4 linked regions of the Caenorhabditis elegans genome follow. The protein of the gene in region 3 interacts with the protein of the main gene of each other region in a pairwise test. Each region holds a gene or a part of one and is shown on either strand. Other genes may lie near its edges. The genes, in order: mpk-1, lin-36, F54D5.5 and sem-5.

Region 1 (4,614 bases), on a different chromosome or scaffold from region 3:
AAAAATTTTTGATTTTCTCTCAGTTTTTCGTTTATTTCATGCCTTCGCTGCCTTAATTTTGTTAAGTCTCCTCCATGTGGAATAGATTCAGAAGTCGTTGTAGTTGGCGTCTGAAATTATTTTTGGAATTTATCGATCGAAATTTGAACAATTGAGATACAATATTCTCGCTGACAGTGCTTTCTCGTGTAGTAAAGCAATAATTTCTATAAACAAAAAAATTAACATACGTTATCATAAAGTAGCTCATTAATAGTGGCTGAAACATCTCCATCATATTTCCGTAGAACATATTCAATATGTGAATTGCTTAGACTGGGAAACATAGCTTGAAAGTCCAGCATTGCCTGAATATTTTGAAAATTTGTTGCCAAATTTGATTCTAGACGTACTCTATCAAAATCCAATAGTTCTTCTTCTACCACACCAGATCGGTCTTCATAGTCATCATAATCCGTCATTATTTCGTTAGAAAAAGCTGAAAAATAGTGTTGAAAATGAAATGAGTCAGCATTATGAAGAAGAACGCTCGTACAAATATTAAACATTTTGGGTGGGCGGTCAAAAAGAATGAGACAGTGTTGTGTGTGTACAATGGTGATTGTATTATCGGTCTGCGGTGAGAGAGTTATGAAAAAATACAGGGAAAATAGGCAGAATTTGGAGTGAAATTGCTAGTAAACTCGGAGTTTTTTTTTTGAAAAACTGCAAGTTAGAGTCTCTAAAGTTCGGAAAAAAGCTTTCTCTGACATCATAAATGATTTTTGCTCTTTTTTACTTCAACATAGTGATTTGGGAAACCATACAAAAGATAAATGGCTTCAAAACAGGAACAATATTATGCATTTTCTGACGAAGCTAATTAATTGACGAGGAGAAACTCATAGACTTTTTATTCATAAAAACAACTTTCGAATAGATTTTCTGCATTTTCTGTTTTTACATAGTTGGCCAGTTTTACTTTTACTGCGGGAAAAGTTCTATACGATTTTTTTTCCTTTATTTAGTGTATCCATTGAGCTAGAAAATACGAAAATTTGCCTTATGTCCCGAATATATCTGTAAAAAAAAACAGTGTTTAATTTTTCAATGATTTATTCAATTTCGCTGAAATATAAATACAAAATCGGCGGAAGGGAATTTGAATTTTTGCACTTTCTGGCAAAATTCATGGATTTTTATAATTTCACTTTTCATACATTTTTAAACAAAAAATGAAATAATAGTTAAATAATCGAATTTTGAACTGATTTTAAAGTTTCCGAAATTTTATTTCAGGTCGTCAAGTTTTCTTCACAAAAAAATCAAAAAAAAAATCATGGAGCCGTTTCTTTTATTTTTGCAAAATTGAAAAAAATCATTAAAAATTCAGAAAAAGAAATCTATAGTTTTTTTTAACAGTTAAATTTGGTAAATTGAGGGAATTTTCAAAAAAAGTTCCTTTGCAATATCAGAAATTTCTTTTCCGACGAAATATTTCACACTCTCAAATATTTTTATCCGTTGCCAGAACTTCTTCTTCATAAAACTAATAATTCTTTAATTTCAGAACCACGAAACATGATGCCAACGTGGATACCTAACAATTTGTGCGCACAGCCGACAACGAGAAATGCTAAACCACCATCGAACGGGCATCCACAAGCGACACAACAACAATCTGCTCCGGGATCATTGGCATACCGTAATTCGAGCAACATACCGAATGGAGCAACCAACCACGTCAGACAACAGAAATGGCAGTACACTCGTTCAGGACATAGAAAGGTACGAATGATAAGAAAATATGAAAAAAAAAGTTGGAGAAAAATAAACAAAAACAAGCATTTTTAGAAGCTGAAAAATATTAAAATGCTCTTTGGTCAGTTGGAAAATTTGAAATTTTTGCATTGAATTTCTACATTGAATTTAAATTAGAAAGTAAAAATACATTAAAAAATTAAGTCATTCAATTTAATTGCAAAATTCACAAAACGTTTTCAAAAAAGTGCACAATGTTCAAATAATCAGAACATAGCACGTAATCGGGTTGATTTGCCCATTGTGCTCCCATTATCGGGAAAATAAGTTGCGTATTGCATCAAAACCACTAACTTTGTACTTTTATTAGCCTATTAAGACTACCGTGACAGAGTACTGTGTGTGTGTGCTGGAAGAAAAGATTAGTGATGTGACGTTGATTGGTAGTTTTTGAATTGGAAAAGAGAGAAACGGAAGTGTGAAAGTTTGAATAGCTCAATGAAAATGGTTGATTTGAATGAAAAAATTCAAATTTTAAACCAGAAATTGTGCTTTGTGTTTTAAGCTTGAAGGTTTGATGATTTTTGCAGATTGACACTTCATTGACGTATTTAGTTTATACCGGAACACCTCTTAGAATCGTAGTTTTTCAACGAAATTTGAATTTCTGCTAGTAGAAAAAAACTGTTCACAACTTGAACATTTCGTATGTATCCCAAAATGCGATACCCGGTCTCGAAACGACACATTTTTTGGTAAATGCAAATAAGTGTGCGCCTTTAAAGAGTACTGTAATTTTAAACTTTGCTGTGTAATTTTCATCAAAATTTTTCGATAAAATTTTTTTTAACCTCAAATTAAAAAAAAGGTTTTTTTTTAATTATGAGAAAAACTATTTAAAAAATCGAAACTGGGTACCGTATTTTTTGGCGTAAAAATCCTAAAATTTCGCTACTGGGTAATAGTTGTATTTTCGAGGTTCCACTACAAATTACCGTAATCTGAGTGTCCCCCAAATTGAATATATTTGCATTCTTCTAAAGTTTCCAGTTAAGACATCTAAAATCTAATAGAATTAATTGAATTGGTCGTCTGATTGACATTCCAGCGTGCAAGCGGAGATTGGAGAGAAAAACAATGTTTTTTTTTCAAACCGAAAATCAGAACTTTTAAACGAACAAGGAAAAATCGAAAAGGAGTGTTCAAATACAAGAATCCATCTTCCGGAAGTTTTCTTCGTGCGTTTGGCCTAGATGACCCAGATTTTTCCTTTTTTCCGGACTTGAGCTACAGTTTACTGTACTTTGACACGTATTCCTTTGGGAACCCCGAGGATTTACACTAATAATTGATGTTGATCTATCTTCTACCCGCTTTCCATCAACAAACTATTATTTTGAAATCCCGTTGTGTACCCGGGTGAATGACTGACAGAGGTGTGAGGTACTTTGTGTATTATTTATGTTTCTCAAAATGAATGTAGATTGATTCATTGTAGTTTCACAGTATCGAAATTGAATTTTTCCGGAGTTAAAGTGTTCAGTAGTAGTTTTCAGAAACTAATTAGTTTTTTATCTAATAACTTCATACATCTGTTACAATTGTTGAATACCATTTTTTGTCATGATGAATCTATAGTTTCTTCTATATAGAATGAATGCGAACTCAACAGGAAATGAAAACAAAAATTCCGACTACCAATTTTTCCTTAAATTTGAGAATCTGATATTCAATTCTGAACCAGAAATCTGAAAATCTGGAATTTTACATCTGAAAAACCATGGAAATAAGTTGAAAAAGGCATTGAACATTATAAAACTCATATGTTCAATTGGCCAAATTCTCACTCGGAACGTTTCCAATATCCCGGAAGTTTTTGCAACTGAGACAAACTGAATTTCCCGACATTATTTCTCGAATTGAATCTTCTTTCAAAATTCTTACTCATTCGACAACACATATGTTTCAATTTTCCTCGGAATTGGGTGTGTTTTGTGTCGGATTTCCTCTCATTTTCGTTCGGTTTTTATTGTTGCGTGGAGAGCTGCATGGAAGAAAAAACCAATTTGATATGAAAGAAGAGCAACACTCATCATTCTTCTCCTCGGAATCGTAAAACCGTAATTGTACGCGTTGGTTTATTTGTCGATGAAGATGATGAGTAGGAGGAGATGAAGAAATTGAAGACGTTAGAAAGAAGAGAAAAGCGTAGAATTACACGCTTCGAAATTTGAGATTTAAGATGGAAATGCGGACGACAAGAAGAGCTCGTTCAAAAGATCGATTTTCATTAAAATTTTATATGGATTTCAAAAAAATTTCGGCAGGTTCTTTTCTACTTTGCGACTTTCAGAATTGAACTTGCTAGCTCCATATTCCGCATTAAATCTCATCGTAACATAAAAACGATTAATTTTCCAAACTCTAATAATTCATTTGTGAGAGATTTTTTTTTCTCTTTTCCATTTCATCGAAAATTCCGCGTTTTCTTAATCTCTGGATTTGTGATTTGGGCGAGAATCTCAGATTTTGCAAAAGAAAAAAGTGACGCGAGATTTTATTTACTCTCAAAAAATGATAGTTCGCAACTGCAAAAAGGAAAATAGAAAAGTATACTCCTTTTTTCTATGTCGAACTAAAAAGACATGCATCCTATATCCTTTAATTCGTTATTCGAACTTCATTAACGTGTTGTGCTCATCGGTGCAGATCCAGTCATTTGAATACTTTTTTCCCTTCCTCTTCGCCTCATTTAACTCAAAAAATGGAGAAACTCGTCTTTTCTTCTTTTTTTCCTTTTTCTCTACTCCAAAAAGGGCTTCTAAGTGTATTTGCACCACAACGTCTACATTAGTTGATGCTTCTCCTTGATGT
Region 2 (6,645 bases), on a different chromosome or scaffold from region 3:
AAAAATTTGCGCCTGGGCAATACGGCAAGCTTCCAATTTTTCAGTAACTTGTTTCTATTTTTTTGGAGATATCAAATATTTTTCAAAAAAAAAATCACAAACCTGTGACCAGATTTTTCAACGACAATTCCGAGAATTGAGCACATAATTCGAAGAGTGTGCATTCTCAAAGCAGCAGATTTTCTGAGTAGACATGCAACAATAAATGTGTGGAAACCGAGGAAAACACGAATTAAAAGAATAATTAAACCTGAAATTTTGATTTTTTAAAACTTTTACTTTTTGGAATGTGTCAAAAAATTTGAAAAAAATCTCACCAACTGGAGCATAAATAATCGAAAATATTTTAGCAATCGTATCTTCATTTCGTTTTTGATGGAATAAATCTTCGATACGAAGATCTTCTGTATTTCCAGAAGACGATGCTTCTGGTGATGCCATTCTAAATTTTAGGATTTTTTTAAATTTTTCATGGTTTTTTCAAAATATAATGTTATGGATAATCAGGTAGCCTATAGAAAAAATAATCTGAAAACTCTTTTCAAAAACCTACCAAGCAAAATCATTTATTTATTGACTTTTAGTCATATTTGGCACACAAACGCACATATCTTTCAAACTTGAATGTAATTGAAAACTAGGGAAACGTTTAAATAGACTTTGGCTCATTTTTTGTGAATAATTCAGATTAATTTATGATAGAAAAAGTGTGGTTTTTGGGGAGGGGGCGGGGGCTTATGGAAAGTAAAACAAACTATTAATTTTGGAAAGTAAATTATAGGGGGGAGGGGGGGTAAAAAATGGGAAAAAAGTAAATGTGAAAATCCTAAAAATCTAGACGAAAATCTATCCTAGTCGGAGTTTTTATCAGATTTCAAGAATTTCGAATGAAAGTAAAATGGGATAACTTCTGTGGATATAAAACAGAGATAGTTCACATGAAAGAAATGTGGGGCGATCCTCGAAAGGACAATTGACTTTTGAATCTTGAATTTTGAGGCACTTTCTTTGATAATTAAAAATAATTATTGTTGAGAATCCGATGATCCTTGTCCTGGAAATTGTTCTTGCTGCTGTTGTTGTTGTTGTTGTTGTTGTTGAAGTTCACGCCATTTTGGATCTTTTTTGGTGAGCTGAAAATCATAAGAATGAAACAAACTGATTGATAACGCCAAATAGCGGAGAAAACATGTTTTTAAAATAAATTGTGTTGTGATCAGTGATTTTTGATGTTTCAATCGGAATTTTTTCAAAGCAAATGGTTTCAAATTGAGAACAACATAAATAAAATCTTTTAAAAAACGAAAATTGTTACTAAAATTCAGAATTGAAACTAATAAAAACATACCACTTGTGCTCCATCGTTAGAGTAGAAAATTTGATAATCTTCAGTCCTTTCGCCAAACAGACGAGCTCTGCAAAAAATTAAACGATTTATCAAAGTAGACCTCCCATGGGCTCACCTGGCTCTCGCAGCTTCAATTTGCCGGATGCAATGACGGGAAAGTCTCATGTCAGCGCGCATTTTCGTCACGGTGCGACATTTGATAGCGTCTTCCATTGCTCTGTAGTAATGAGCATCTTTCATCATTTCTTTTGAGATTTCTTCCATATCTTGATCTTTAACTGTTCCACTTGAACCATCCATCTCAAGAGCCTCTGCCAGCGTAAGCATCGGTTGCCTCTCGGAAGATGTTGAAGAAGTGGCAACATCTTCAGACGATGAGTTTCCCATAGAATCAATGACTTCTTCGACCATTTCAACTTCCATATCCGTTGCTGGAATCAGATACTCATCAGAAACAACCACCGGAGAAGATGCTGAGAAGTTTGGCGATGACTCGTGATGGGAGAGTGTTGGTCGTGGAGTTGATGTTTTTTTTCGTGGTGAAAGGATCAGTGGTCTTCGGGAGAGCACACTCTGAAGCAATAAATTAGAAAAAATATCAAAGTCTCCTAATAAATAATTCTAATATATTAAACTTACCGGTCTCTTAGCAGGCCCTTTTTCTTGTGCAACAGCTCCCATAACTCTTTGAGAAAAGATCCCGCCAGGAGAGGATGAAGTTGGTGGTCTTGATATGACTCCAGAAGATAATGAACGTCCTCCACCAAGTGATGCAGTAGCTGTGAACGATTCTAATGGAATCTGATATTTAGCCATCGAAGGACGAACTCCAGCAACAAAAGATCTCGCGAGCATTGATTTTAGAGGGCGTTCTTCCGGCTCTTTTTCTACTGGTGCCGGTTTTGCGACAGGAGTTGCTGGTTTTTCAACTTTTTGAACAGCACTCTCCTTAGTTTTCGATCGTGTATTTCTGGCGATAAATTTTTGACTTGTTGTCGGTTCTGGTGTCTGCTCCGAAGATGTCACTTTGTCTTCTGGCTCCGTCTGAATAAAAAACATTATCCTAGTAATTCGAATTTCAACATGCTACAAAGTAAAAGAGGAATTTCAAAAGTTACAAATTAAGTTCTAATCTATTATTTAATAAATTCAGTAAATAAAACTCACCGAAGAAGTAGCAGCGATCCCTTTGGCCAAATTATAAGCCAAGGCCTTTCTCGGCTTCTTCGTTGCTGCTTCTTGTTTCTTGAATTGTTTGGCATTGATCAATCGCTTAACTTGCTGAGATCTTTTCTGAACCATTTTGGCAAATTGTTCATCTCGTTCCTTCAAACGAAGACGTTCACGTGGATCATTTGGTGAAACTGTTGGTTCTCTCTCTACACTTTCAGGAGTTGGATCGTGTTCTTCTTCGTGTGAAATTTTCCGTTTCTTAGCTGGAGTTGATGGAGCTGTAGCAGGAACTTCGTGTTTTGCCACCTTCTTGATTGGTGAATTTGTAGCGGAAGTTGCGAGACGTGTTGCTTTACGTCGTTCACCAGATCCCATTGGAGCTTGTGGAGACTGATGGGAAGTTCTAAAAAATTTAATTGCTTCTTTGATTTCCATTTAGTAAGATTTTTTAAATTTCGTTACGCAGGATGTTCTCTAACTCGAACATTTTTTGACAAAACTTACAGTTCAGAAACATCGTCTGACTCTTCTTCTGCATGTTTTTTCTGACTGCTCTCTTGCTCCTTCGTTCCTTGAGCCGATTCTTCTGCTTTTGTATTAATCTCTGCTTCTCTTCTCAATTGCAGAAACACTTGTCGCTGCATTACGTTCAGATCATTCACACTTGTACCACCTTCTTTTCCAACAAACGATAATGTCCTCACTGCCTTCTTTCTCTTCTCTTCATCGTGAACCATTTTCGTACGCTCTTCTGGATTTTGCACGTAGGCTTTTTTCGTTGGTGAAGGTGTGAGTACGATTTCATTTGCTGGTGGTTCACAGCCGTGATATGCCACATAAACGTTGCGACGAGTCCAGTTATCCCAGCTTTCCGCTGGATCCAACTCAGTAGCGCGGCAGTTCATTTTAGCGAATTCATATATTCTACGAAGATGACAATGATGAATGGGGCCAGCATTCAAGTGACGACGATATCCAGATATTGTCTTGTAACCATATGTGCATTTTCTACAGAATGGGCACATGAAGCCAGCTTCTGGGACCTGTGAAAAATATTAATTTTTGTTATAAGAATTATGTGATAAAATAAGAGTATTAACTAAAAAGCTTGAACTTACATCCAAAACATTATCTTTTTTCTTGAGCATTTCCTCCGTGTGATTGAGAAGATGTGTCTGAAGCTCGACAACACTGCACGAGTGGAACTCACATACGGTACAGACCCATGGCACTCTGGAACTTTTATAAAATCGTGAAAGAGGATGTTTTAGCCAAAAATCGAGCTAACATATTCATTCACAAGCTTTTTCGTTTCGAGCAGAACCAGCTTTTCTTCTTACCTTTTTTTACTCGGTGTCGTCTTAACGTCTGGTGAAATAGCAACAGGAACTCCAAAAGCTTCGATGGCAGATTTGTTGAAATTGTGATTCCTGAAGCACTCCTCGGCGAAGTGCTCAGTACAAATTGGACCGGCAGCAATTGAAAACGATACAGGACCCATTTTACTGCGAAGAATATCTTTGTATTTGAATCCAAGCAAATTTGCCCAAATTCTGCGCCTATCCAAGTCTGCTGGGAAGTTTAGATGCATCTCTCCCGATTTCATTACTCGATTACAAACTGTACATGGCTTATGAGTCAAATTGGAGTATGGAGAAAACTTCTTGAAATGATCAACAACATATATTCTCAGTCTCCCATTTGACATCCGGTACACTTCTAAATGCTCTCCATCTGGCGGAGTTCGTGTCATTCGGCTTAAAGTCTCCGGAATAACTTGGCACGGAAAACTGGAGTAGACACTTTCGCCTTTGCCGTGGATAATTTCTTCTCTTGGTTGTGACGACGAAGCTTGTTTAGTTGGAGTGACTTGGCTTTCATCAAGAACTTCACCACTTGATGTGACAGTTGGCATTACGGGAATCTGAAAATAAAATGATGTATTCTATTCCGGCCAATGGGCACATGCATTAATACGAGAATGAAAATGTAAACGTACATCGTGTTCGTCCTCATCTTCTCCTATTACGTCAACATCACCCTCAGTTTCCTGCAATGCGTCTACAGTTGAGGATTCTTCACCAGAATGCTGTGAATCCTAAAAATGCATTGATATTCATAAGCGGCGAGAATGTTTCTCAATTATCACCATACCTGTTCAACTGAGTGCACCGTCACGTGTGAGTCTTCTGGTTCTTCAATATCATTATAATCCCTTTTACTGGGTCTAGTACTCAGCAATTCTTCCGACATTTCCTGCAATCAAATATTTTTGGAAAAGCCTTTCTTTTGCAAATTCTACACATTTTGAGCACAAAAACAGAAAATACAGTGAATTTAATTGTTTAAAACGCTCAAGAGATACAAATAATAACGAAAAACATTGATAATAAGTGAAAAATGAGTCGAAAGTGTAAAAATCGATAATTGTCCGGCCAATTTTTGTACAATTCTGGCTCCCACTCATCTGATGTACGCAAACACCGCCACGCGCGGTTGCGTACTTTTTCTATGACGTCTCTCCGTTTGCTACGCTCTCTCGCCGAACAAGCGACTTGGAACTGGAGGGACGTTGAATTGATGATATCAATATGGAGACAGGTCATTTGTATAAATGATTGACACCAATTTATCCAAAATACCACGGAGATAACACCAGGAGTTTGAGAAGTACATATTCGTTAACAATAAGTGATTTAAAGCAGGGGAATTAATTAATTACAACGGGAACATCATAAGCTTGGAACATTTCGTTGCCAAATTAAATCGAACGGAAGACAGTTTTCTCTAGGTTCAGGTATAGTAGAAGCTTGAGCAAACATATGCGTATAGTAAGTGATGTTTACTCAGGTACTCATATTCTATTAGATACCGTACCCCGAAAACTAGAAATAGGATTTCTAGTTTTCGGGGTACGGTATCTAATAGAATGTCTTCCAGAAACGATTATAACAGACACGTAATCTGGGTGGAATGCTGAAAAATAATTCTGATTTTTATTTAGAAAAATTATTTCAGAAGATGCATCTTCCTCTTAAGATGCTCTCAATTTTTCTTCCGTACACAATTAAAAATCATAATCTGGTGACAGCTCATACAGAAGCGCAATTCTTGCCCTGGCTTGTGAAGTGATTACATTTTTCGAAAATTATAATGTATTATTCGTCTGAATACAATACTTAGCACGAGCAAAAGATTTCAAAGATGACAAGTCATTAGACATCTCTTCATAAAAGCGATTACGGTATAACTTCTTATTGGGAGTCGACTTAAACCCCCAAAGACAAGAAACACATTAAAAAACAAATAGTGAAAAATTCTTAAACTCAATAACAAACAATCAGACTACCGTACTCACACAAATGAAAGTTTTCTGCCATCTGTACTTTTAATATCCGGCCTCTCTAGGGAAGCATTTGTAAAAAAATTGTTTCATGGTTTAATCAAGTTACAATAAATTGTAGCTCGCGTAAATGTTCATGCATGAATCTTAAATTTCCAGGTGTCAATTTTCCAAAAACCTATCTTCACTTCTCAAGTCTAAAATCTCTCGGATCCCTTCCTTCTCCTCCCCCGATTTCACTGATCAAGTCCGTGTGCAACTCTGCGTATCTTCATCTTACACACTATTCAGTGTTTAATGCTCACTCAGGCGGGCTCAAAACAGTGTAAAAATGGCCTCTAAACCCTCTTCCGTCGTTCTGCCAATTTCTCTATTGCCAACAAAACAACCAACATGCCATCCATATCACTACTACTACAAGAGTTTTTTTTGAATAAAACCAATCTCGCATACTTTTTCTACTTTATGAAGCATCAAAACTCAGTACAATTTCTATTTTTAGATGGCTGACGATGAAGATGATATAGTTTGGATTCGTGAAGATACAGCTCAATCATCAGTTCCAACATCTCCAACAACTCCAGCAACTATCATTGAAGCTGCACCTGTATTGAGTGATGCATTTGATAAACCAATTCTAAAATCAGTTGAAACTATTTCTGTATCAAATGGACCACCTGAAGTCACAATCAGTGCTCCACCACCAACTCCTCCAGCTGCTCCATTAGCCCCACAGATAACTCCAATGGTGCTTTCAACAGTTCCAGATGCAGCTCCTGCT
Region 3 (4,631 bases):
ACCCCGGAAAATGGACGTTCCTACTTTTTTTTTTTGAAAATATGTTATTATTAATTATAAATATTAGTTTTATCAAATCGGAACCAAAAAAATATTAAAATTAACTGTTACTGATAAACGGTGCCGATCGATGTGCCATAAAGTGATGCAGGAATAGGAAAAATCGAGTAGTAGAGGAAGGGATAGAGAATGGCTCTCGGACTCTTTCCCAATACGAGAGGTGAAGATGCGTGAAGTGCTGATGGCGCCGACGCAATAGATCAGACGAATCAAGAGCCGCAGAGAGTGGAACGCGCGGAGCCAGAGCATCTCCAAATGTTTCGACCGGTGGTGGTGATGAGAGCCGCACACACATACAAACACAACTGATAATATTTGGATTTGTGCGGAAAGACAAGATCCTGTTTCGGGTTTATTAAAGAAGAGATGGTTATAAGGTAGAAATGAAAAAAAACCGACATAACTCTTGAGAAAATTGAATACAAAAAGAGAAAGTAGAAAAAATAGCTGACAATCTGGAAAATGGAAAATAAAGCAATTAAATCGACATCATAGAGAATGGACGAGACGGTGGCTTCCGATTCTCCTTATCTATTGTGGAATGATCAAGTAGAGTCACTTGGCTGTCAGCAGAGCTTGACGGAGAAATGCTGTCGACTTCTTTAGTACTTCTTGAAGTTTCGATTAAAAGTTCGGAACGATAGTCTTTCACTTCATCTCGATCATCATCTCCGTAGTTTGTGGGCACTGAAATTATTTGAAATCATGATATAGTCTTTTAAAGCTTCATGTTGGTTTTATCTACAAGAACTGCGAGAATTTATACGCAGACTTCTCAACAGATTTTGAATTGTTCAAATCGTACTGAGACCAATTTTTTCTGGGCAAAAAGTTCTGTATTTACTGTAGATCATACGGAAATGGGACACCAGAGGTGCGGCAAATTTGCCGAATTTGCCGTTTGCTGAAAACTAATGGTTTCGATCAGAAACTTAATGAAAAAAAATAACATTGTGTTTCTTTCATTTTTTTTTATTCAAGAAATCCACACGCGCATTGGGCAAAAATTGAGCGAAACCAGTTTTTGAGCTTCAAAAAATATTGCGATTTACCGAGTATGACGAGCATGGCAAAATTGCCAAATTTGCCGAGTTCGGCAAAATTTCAAAATTTGCCACACACCGTGAAGCAACAAATATAATTGAAAATTTAAAGCGAATTTATATGGCAATGAACATGATTAGATATTAGATTATTGATTGAAATTAATGTTAGAAGAAGAAGTATCGTTTGAATAAAAAGTTTCGGACGCACCCTTGAATCCTCCAGGTGGTGGAGTCATTCCCGTAAGACCTTGAGAAGTTGGTTGAAGGAATGAATTTTGAAGGAAGCTGACATCAGACGGATTTATCAATGACTCTCCGGCTCCACTTGTCATTGTCATCGGTGTGTTGCTTGATGGTGGAGCACTATTCATGAAGTTAGATGACATGTGGTGAGAAGCATTCATGGATTGGCTCATATAAGGGTAGGAGCCCATGCTCAATGGAGGTGGATATTGCTGAGGATTTGATATTTGTGGTTGACGGAGATGGTGGAATGCCTGAAAAATTATATTTATTTGAGGGTTCTCTGAAATAATAATATGAACTTACATCATATCCGGAATTCTGGAAAGCCTCGAGCTGCTTCTTGCACCGACTGAGCTCTTTTCTATAGCAATCCCGCTCCTTCTTCACTTTATCCAACTGATTCATATAGTGGAACATGGCGTTTTTGGCATCATTGCACTCTTTCTCCATATCCTTCAACTTTCTCTTTTCTTCCCGTCGCTTTTGTTCAGACTCTTTGTACTTTTGCATGTAATGTTGTTGAGCACGCTCGATGACTGCAAACTGAGCCTTTTCACTGAAATCATCATTTTCTGATTCTTCAATTCTGTCCTCGTAATGTGAATGACGACTGCTGTATTGTCCAACCGGTGATGGATCACCACTTCCGTATTCTGAAGATTCACCACGTCGACGGAAATCACTTTTGCTGCTATGATGACGTCTGCTACTCGGTTTCCGTCCTTCGTCTATCGTGTAGTTTTGTCGCATCGACTGATGAAGCACGTCACGCCTCCGATGTGAATTGCTCTTCTGTGAATACTTGTCAGACTCGTACGACACATCTGACTCGTCACGATAACCTCCCGGACAGCTTTGAGGACCTTTACGAAGTTTTGGTGCTGATGTTGTGTGATAGGCGGCAGTGGCGGGAAGAGCTCCATCGTCGGCGAAGCGAGCAACAGCTCGTCTTTGTGATTTGGAGGATGAGGTGCTCGGTGCACGGAATGAACGGCGATTGGAGACTTCGCGAGCCTGGAAATTAACAATTTGAATTTGAAAATTTCAAATTTCACGTGATGTCAGAGTGCACCATGTTGGCTTGATCTACAAGAATCACGGAAATTTAGACGCGACTTCTCAACTGATTGGAGGAAAATTTCCGCGTTTGTTGTAGGTCAATCCGTAAAAGGACAGTCTATTTTCAATGCACTTTCTAGTTTTGAGATATTAATTATCAATCACCAATATAAACCAAAAAATAAGTTTAGAAAAACTAACCAAATCCTCGTTATTCTCCTCATCTCCCTTTTTCGATTTTTTGCTCTTGAATAGTGTTCGTATGATCGCCGCCATTTTTGTAGTATCTGCGGCTGAAAAAAACTGAATTTAAAAAAGTTCTAATGAAAAGGCGTAGACACAAAAAAACACGAACGGAAATGAAAGAGAAAGAGAACAGTTCATTAAGTAAATGAGGGGGAAAGGAGAGGAACGCACAGTGGGAGATCAAAGCGAGCCGAACTGGGTGGTCAATGGGGAGAACATGGGGGCCTATAGAGTGAGTGGCGGAGACCTTGACGGACAGTGAAATATGGACTGGAAATGTGGGGAGATCAATTGGTGAAAGAGTTATTGGCGGTTTGAAAAGTAGGTCAAAAAAGACAAGATAATGCATTGGGAAAGTTCCACTTTTTCTTCCCAAATTCTGAGCACAAAGAGCTTATCGATTGAAATCTAATCTAAGAAAACAAAAAAAAACGAGTAAAATTTTGATATTGGATAACCAGAGGTCAAGTACTAGAACTCCATTAGTACGGTAAGAGCAAGCAGAACTATATCAGGAGCTCAACTTACGTAATTCAACAAGTCTCTCCCGACTGTACGCCTCATAAGGTATCGGGAGGGTGTGTTAGGAGACGGGAAGAAGAGAAAAATGGTGTGGAGACAGCAGTCACCAAACCGCCTGTCTCCTCCTCTCCTTTCACCAATAGACGAGGTCTTCTCCAAGCGTTTGCGTCTGCGTCTCTTAGTCTCGCGCGCTCTCTCCCTAGCCCCCTTCGGACCTCGCAATCGACGATCAGCATCGAGGCGGTGTCGAGTCTTTGAAGTGGAGAATTGCGTAGTGTGTCTCCTCTTCTTGGTGCTGCCAGCGTTGACGATTTGAATCGCGATGATTGCCGCCACAAATATAACCGCGACGCGCGGACCGCTTCGCATCCTATACATGGCAGAAGGTCCGCCTAATTCGAATTGGAGAACGCGCGCCTCGGGAGGAGACGGATATGACATTAAGGGTATAATGGGCATGAGAAGCATGAGAAGCATGATAGATGTCAAATGCAAATTAATCCGAGTTTGAAAATAAGCAGGAGGAATCTGTTGACCTCTCTAGAATACAAACACATGAGATTTTACAGTAACGTAACTAGATGCTAAAGAATCTGGAATTCATGAACAAATATAATATGTTTTCCGTCAGAACTTATTTGAGGAAAAAACATTCGAAGAAAATGGTTTTTAAATTAAATTTTGAATATTGGCCAATTAGACAAGACAATATTTCGTGGGCCCCACCACGCCTTGAACGCGTGTACTGTAGCCTGAAAATTTGTTTAAAATTTTAAGAAATTTGAACTTTAGAAGATATTTTCTGTCAGAAAATTAATAAAATAAATAGTTAGTGAAATGAGACTAAACTATAACTTTTGTAGAAAACGTTTGAAAAATTGCAAAGCTGCCCAAAGTATATCACTCAAAAACCGGTCAAACTACCAATTTTGGCATCTTTTTTTTTTTGAAAAAAATCAGTACACACTGACAGAAAAGTACGAGCAAACAGAAAAATAACCGCCGCTGAAGGCAATTCAAATAAACGTTCGGCATTGATCCTTTGAACTGTCCAGAACAAAGGGTGGTGATTGCAACGGAGCAGTAGTCGGTAGCCGGGAGGTATAACTGAACCACGTAGTAGAATTAGAGTGTGTAGTTGAGCAAGATATTATCTATGTACCAAGTTAGCATTAGTTATTGGTAAGTAGCAATATTGATTTTTGTTATCTAAAGATCTTAAAACCACTTTTATAGTTCTAAAATCACAAAATAACACAATTAATCTCTTCAACAAGAAAAATTAATTGTTAAAAATTGAACTTTTTAATAGACTTCGTTTTTGCCTACCACAGTTCAAAGAAGTTTAAACAAGGTTTATATCTTAATTTGGTTTAACCTTTGTTGCACTCGAAACTATTCAAAAAAGATACCAATATTTTGATAATTTGGTAATTTACCAAAACTTTATTT
Region 4 (4,554 bases), on a different chromosome or scaffold from region 3:
ACGTTTTCTTTCAAAATTCAATTGTTAATCAAAGGTGTGGTAAAGCAAAAGACATTAACGTTGCTTTAAAAAAATTGAGAGCACTATTGCATTTTTGAGACTCACAAATTATAATTTAAAAAAATAACTTAAAATTTAGAATAAATTGTTATCTGGTATATCCAAGAAATAAGTAAAGACGGCGCGCTTTTTGGTTGAAAAAAAATTGATTTTTAAGTTCGAAAAACATACCACTTCACCTTTTCCGTTGACAAAAGATTTCACAACCCATTACGCTCATTTTAATTATTATCATTGACTCGTTATAGAATTTTAACTAATGGTTTAATTTCGTTTTTAGAGCCGTATAAACTTTAAAACTAATCGGAGAAGACTTTTATTAAAATTCGAAATGTCTGAGTATTTTGTTCAAACTAGCTTGCAAAATGTGAAAATGTCATTAAAGGAAACTCCACATGCAAAATTTTCCAGATAAACTACTTTGCATCTACAAATTATGTTCTGTAAAAATTATAGAAAGTGGATTAATATAATAATTATTAACCTTCATTGATTTACAAAGGGATTGGAAAATACTTGACAAATTCGATATAAAAGCAAGACGGCGAGTAAAGTGGGAGGCAGAGAGAAGCTTCATGATGCTCTCGACAAGAGATTGAGCCGGAGGAATAGAATGAAGTGATAAAACTATATCAGAACAGTGTGAGTTGTGATAAAACCGAACAATGTAGCACCGAACGAAAAATCGTATTGGTTTTGGATGAATTGCAAAATGTCAAAAGAAAAAGAGAGACAATGACGAGAAATGGCAAATAGTTATGACAAAAATTGCATGAACACAAAAAAAAACAAATGCGAACAGTCTCTGAGTATTGTGTCAGAGTATCTAATCGCTTAATAGATCCGTAATAGAATTGGTGTGGGGTTGGAAGAAAGCGGGAAAGAAAAGGCTGTTGATAACACAACAAGAATTGTATCATTGCCAACGAAACCGAACAAAAAATCGATAAAACATTGCCAATGGCAGTTCCAAGTTGCAAAGAATAAAAACATTGAAAATTCATGGTCTACATGTAAAACACGAACAACTTATCTCAGTTTTGAGAAAGTTGTGAAATTAATACCCAGCATTGGAAAGTGTGTTTGTGACAAGATTTAGTGATTATTATTGGAGATTAAGTAAGAGAGGGCTTATTAGACTACTATGTCAAGAACAAATGGTATAGAAGAAACATTGAACGCTCCTTTTAAAGAACGAACAGAGACAGGAAAAATCCTAAAATAACGTCCTAATTTCCAAAGTTGAAGCCAGGAGCCACGTTGGAGTTGCTCTTATTGCTATTGTAAGGGCATACGTAGTTGGATGGGAAAATTCCACGCCTGTTGTTCAGCTGTCCTTCCCACCAGTTTGGATCGTCTTTGTTGATCACTGAAAATAAAATATAAGAGATTTTCTAAATGTTTTATTTTTCGGGGTTGCTCAACCCCGACAAATAGATGATCAACCGATTAACTCTATTTTTACGTTGTGAACATTCATAATGCTGCAAATTGTATCTTGAAATCCAATGTTTCTCCGAAAAGTAAATAATAGCCACAGAGTTTTTTCATTTCAATTTGAGTTTATACAAAAACTAATCTAACAACTGATTTTCAATACGTGCATTTATTTGTTCCAGTGAAAGTTAGTTTAAGCAAGACGTCTCATATTATCTTCCTAGTACTTTGTATTACCTTTTTGTTATTTTTATGGTTCTTCTTAAATATTCTTGTTTTAAGATCTATAAAGTGAATAGTTTCAAAATTTTCGAAATACAGTCCAAGATATATCCATTTTTACCATTTTCAATTAAACCTAGAATTTTTTGATTCAAACTTTCAATTGAACATTTTAAAATCATGAAAATTTGTGTTTCAAAAACACTTACAAGTGATAACATCTCCTCTTTTGAAAGCTAGCTCTCCACTCTCCTGTGGGTTGAAATCAAACAGGGCCTGTACAAATTTAGTCTCCACATTCATATCTGACAGCAATATTGTGTGAGTACGCGAAACAGAAGCGGTTCTGAAAATTATTGATTTTTTACTTTTTTTTTGAAAAAGTGTGACTCACCTGTGATAAGCAACTAATTCATTCAAAGAGTTGAATTTGACAGCCCACAAGTAATATTTACCATTTTGATCACGCAAAACTTTGAAATGTTGTACAGAATCTTGGAATCTGGAAAAAAATGTATAACTTTTTGAAAATCTATAACATCTTCTTACCGAACACTGATCGAAAATTCTCCTGGACTACTTTCACACTGTCGGACAAGGAAATGACCATCACGTACGGTTGGCTTTTTCAGCAATACTTCTGCGTCATTTCTTGTTATTTTACCAAGGTACCTAAAAATCCAGAAATTTTAAAAATTGTTTACGCAAGCGTTCTCAGTTCTTCGCGCCCTAGCTGCGGGGTATACAAACAAAAACCGCGAGAAGTAAGATCGACTGATTTTTAAAATATAAGCTTATAGATTAAATCCTCAAAAAAGTCAAACTATTTTTTCCCGAACATACCAATTGCATTCAGTCATACGAATATAATTAGAAGGAATGAATCCTTCATTTCCATCCAATTCAGCTTTATACCAATGTGGATCTTCATCTTTGTTCAAAACCTGCAATTATTGATTTTATCAGGGCCCGGTTATGATATTGTTGAACAAACTTTTAGCGTGTTTCCTCTCTTGAAAGACAACTCATCAGGTGATCCCGCCTGGAAATCATGCTCGGCGACCGCCTCCATCGTCTCGCTACCTGAAATATACTCTTTGCAGCTTCAGAAACAATTAACACCAAAATAAAACATAACAGAGTACATTGAACAAACATTGTTGTCAATAAATTGGCCTGCTTGAGAGACTGTATCTACATATCGACATATCCGCGCGGCGCCAATGAAAAATTATTAGAGCAATAAAAAAATCTAGCGGCAAAGCATAGAGGAACAACTGAGAGGGAAAATGAGAATGAGAAGAGCGTAGTGCAAATTGTAACAGGAGATGAGTAAGAGGACCGGCGAGAAAAAAGAAGGATAAATGAAATTGAGAAACGCAGAACGCAAAATAAAAACCCGCAGGGTCACTAGTTCGGTGATTGAGGTGGTTTTAGTTGAGTGTTTGAACGTGAAAACGGGGAAACAGTGGAAACAGTAGAAACCGGAGAGTAACAAACCGGGGCAACACTAAGTGTCGTCGATTCCGGCGCATTGTATGCAACACTAAATGTGCCGAATGCTACGACACTACTTTTCTCTAATACTCCAAATCTATCACGCGTTCTTCGTGTCTCTTTTTTCTCTCCCATCTTCGCACTGTCTCTATCTGTCTCTCCCACACACACACAAAAACAACGGCGAGTTTGGGCAGGCCGGACCGTACTGTTTTCCGCAATGAGTTCTGTAATTTACATGGTTTCAAATGGAGATTCAGAGAAAAAAGTGCGATACGCTATCAGCAGTCATCATGCACGTCTTTTCTTACACTTTTGAATGAATGGCCGGAGAAACGGAAAAGAACAAATGAAAAGTGATAAGAGAACACGAGAAAACGAAGAAGAAAGAATCAAATTGAAAATGCTCCAAGGCATTGGGTATTGCAATTCATCGATTAGAAGAATGTCAACAAACACACTCCCACCTTGTCCTGTCCAGCCTGAGGTGACTAACCGTCTAGAAATCAAAACATTTGGGTGTGCTGGGTAGTCAGTACCGATTCTCTTTTCAAAAATAAAAATGAAAACTATTTCGGAAATAGGGCTAGAGATGATAAATTAGATAGGAAACATAAATAGATTGCAACTTCAATCAAATTTTTGAACTTCAGTTGCTGGAAAATTATTTAGCAGTTAAAAAATTTAATGAAAATTACGAAATAAGACTATAATTTAACCGATATAAAAAAGATAATCGAACCTGTGACAGTTACTCATAAATACTTGACATTTTAATCGGTGAGTGTACGTAAATATAATAAGGAATAGTGTTTTCTAGCTGGAAACCAACTGTATTTACTACTAGTTAGTTTGACAAATGTGTATTTACCTGACTAATACAAAATCGTAAGAACAGTATCTATAGTAAAACTAATATATGACTGAAATTAACTTTTTTAAGAACCAAAATATTAAATTTTGTCACTGGTTCTTTAAATATATCCATATAACTTTTCTGAAAATTCTCACTGTTTTACAGTGTGAACTTCCAAGAGCAAGGTTATGTGACTGATTTGTCAATAAATTTACTAGGTTCCGTAGTCGGCAACTCGTGGCCACTTCTCAACCTACTTTGGCCACTTTCTAACTGCCATTAGATTTCCACCACTTCCCACTTCTCGACCAACTTTCGTCAACTTTCACACACTTTTTCTAGTTGCTTAGAGCGTAAAAACCCTGTTTAACCAACTTTTGCCACTTTTGCAAATGACAGTTAGAAAATGGCTAAAGTTGGTTGAGAAGTGGCGCCGATTTACCGAATAGATTAACATTCTCAGTAAAACATTCTGAATTTGT

Evidence for each region.
Region 1: the proteins of F54D5.5 (region 3) and mpk-1 interact in a two-hybrid assay, tested with the Caenorhabditis elegans proteins (3 studies listed by BioGRID).
Region 2: the proteins of F54D5.5 (region 3) and lin-36 interact in a two-hybrid assay, tested with the Caenorhabditis elegans proteins (3 studies listed by BioGRID).
Region 4: the proteins of F54D5.5 (region 3) and sem-5 interact in a two-hybrid assay, tested with the Caenorhabditis elegans proteins (3 studies listed by BioGRID).

Annotation. Positions count from the first base shown.
Region 1 is NC_003281.10:4,225,044-4,229,657, reverse strand, and holds the start of mpk-1 (Mitogen-activated protein kinase mpk-1), read left to right. Parts: upstream 1-1,563; coding exon 1,564-1,767; intron 1,768-4,614. Other genes in the region: F43C1.5 (uncharacterized protein), read right to left, coding at 1-110, 231-347, 393-461. UniProt on the Caenorhabditis elegans protein: Functions in let-60 Ras signaling pathway; acts downstream of lin-45 raf kinase, but before the lin-1 gene product in controlling vulval cell differentiation. Plays a negative role in proximal germline proliferation in the mitotic zone.
Region 2 is NC_003281.10:8,016,097-8,022,741, forward strand, and holds lin-36 (Protein lin-36), read right to left. Parts: upstream 4,778-6,645; 5' UTR 4,775-4,777; coding exon 4,676-4,774; intron 4,620-4,675; coding exon 4,521-4,619; intron 4,446-4,520; coding exon 3,862-4,445; intron 3,761-3,861; coding exon 3,640-3,760; intron 3,565-3,639; coding exon 3,026-3,564; intron 2,925-3,025; coding exon 2,516-2,924; intron 2,393-2,515; coding exon 1,988-2,392; intron 1,922-1,987; coding exon 1,464-1,921; intron 1,416-1,463; coding exon 1,349-1,415; intron 1,134-1,348; coding exon 1,026-1,133; 3' UTR 552-1,025; downstream 1-551. Other genes in the region: F44B9.5 (Lipid droplet-regulating VLDL assembly factor AUP1 homolog), read right to left, coding at 103-250, 318-441; F44B9.2 (uncharacterized protein), read left to right, coding at 6,367-6,645. UniProt on the Caenorhabditis elegans protein: Required to negatively regulate vulval development. Antagonizes Ras-mediated vulval induction. Acts cell autonomously.
Region 3 is NC_003280.10:11,564,015-11,568,645, forward strand, and holds F54D5.5 (uncharacterized protein), read right to left. Parts: upstream 3,007-4,631; coding exon 2,829-3,006; intron 2,705-2,828; coding exon 2,613-2,704; intron 2,367-2,612; coding exon 1,656-2,366; intron 1,604-1,655; coding exon 1,315-1,603; intron 748-1,314; coding exon 539-747; downstream 1-538. Other genes in the region: F54D5.15 (ZM domain-containing protein), read right to left, coding at 106-139.
Region 4 is NC_003284.9:7,958,922-7,963,475, forward strand, and holds sem-5 (Sex muscle abnormal protein 5), read right to left. Parts: upstream 2,803-4,554; 5' UTR 2,792-2,802; coding exon 2,714-2,791; intron 2,664-2,713; coding exon 2,563-2,663; intron 2,392-2,562; coding exon 2,269-2,391; intron 2,222-2,268; coding exon 2,114-2,221; intron 2,066-2,113; coding exon 1,929-2,065; intron 1,430-1,928; coding exon 1,290-1,429; 3' UTR 532-1,289; downstream 1-531.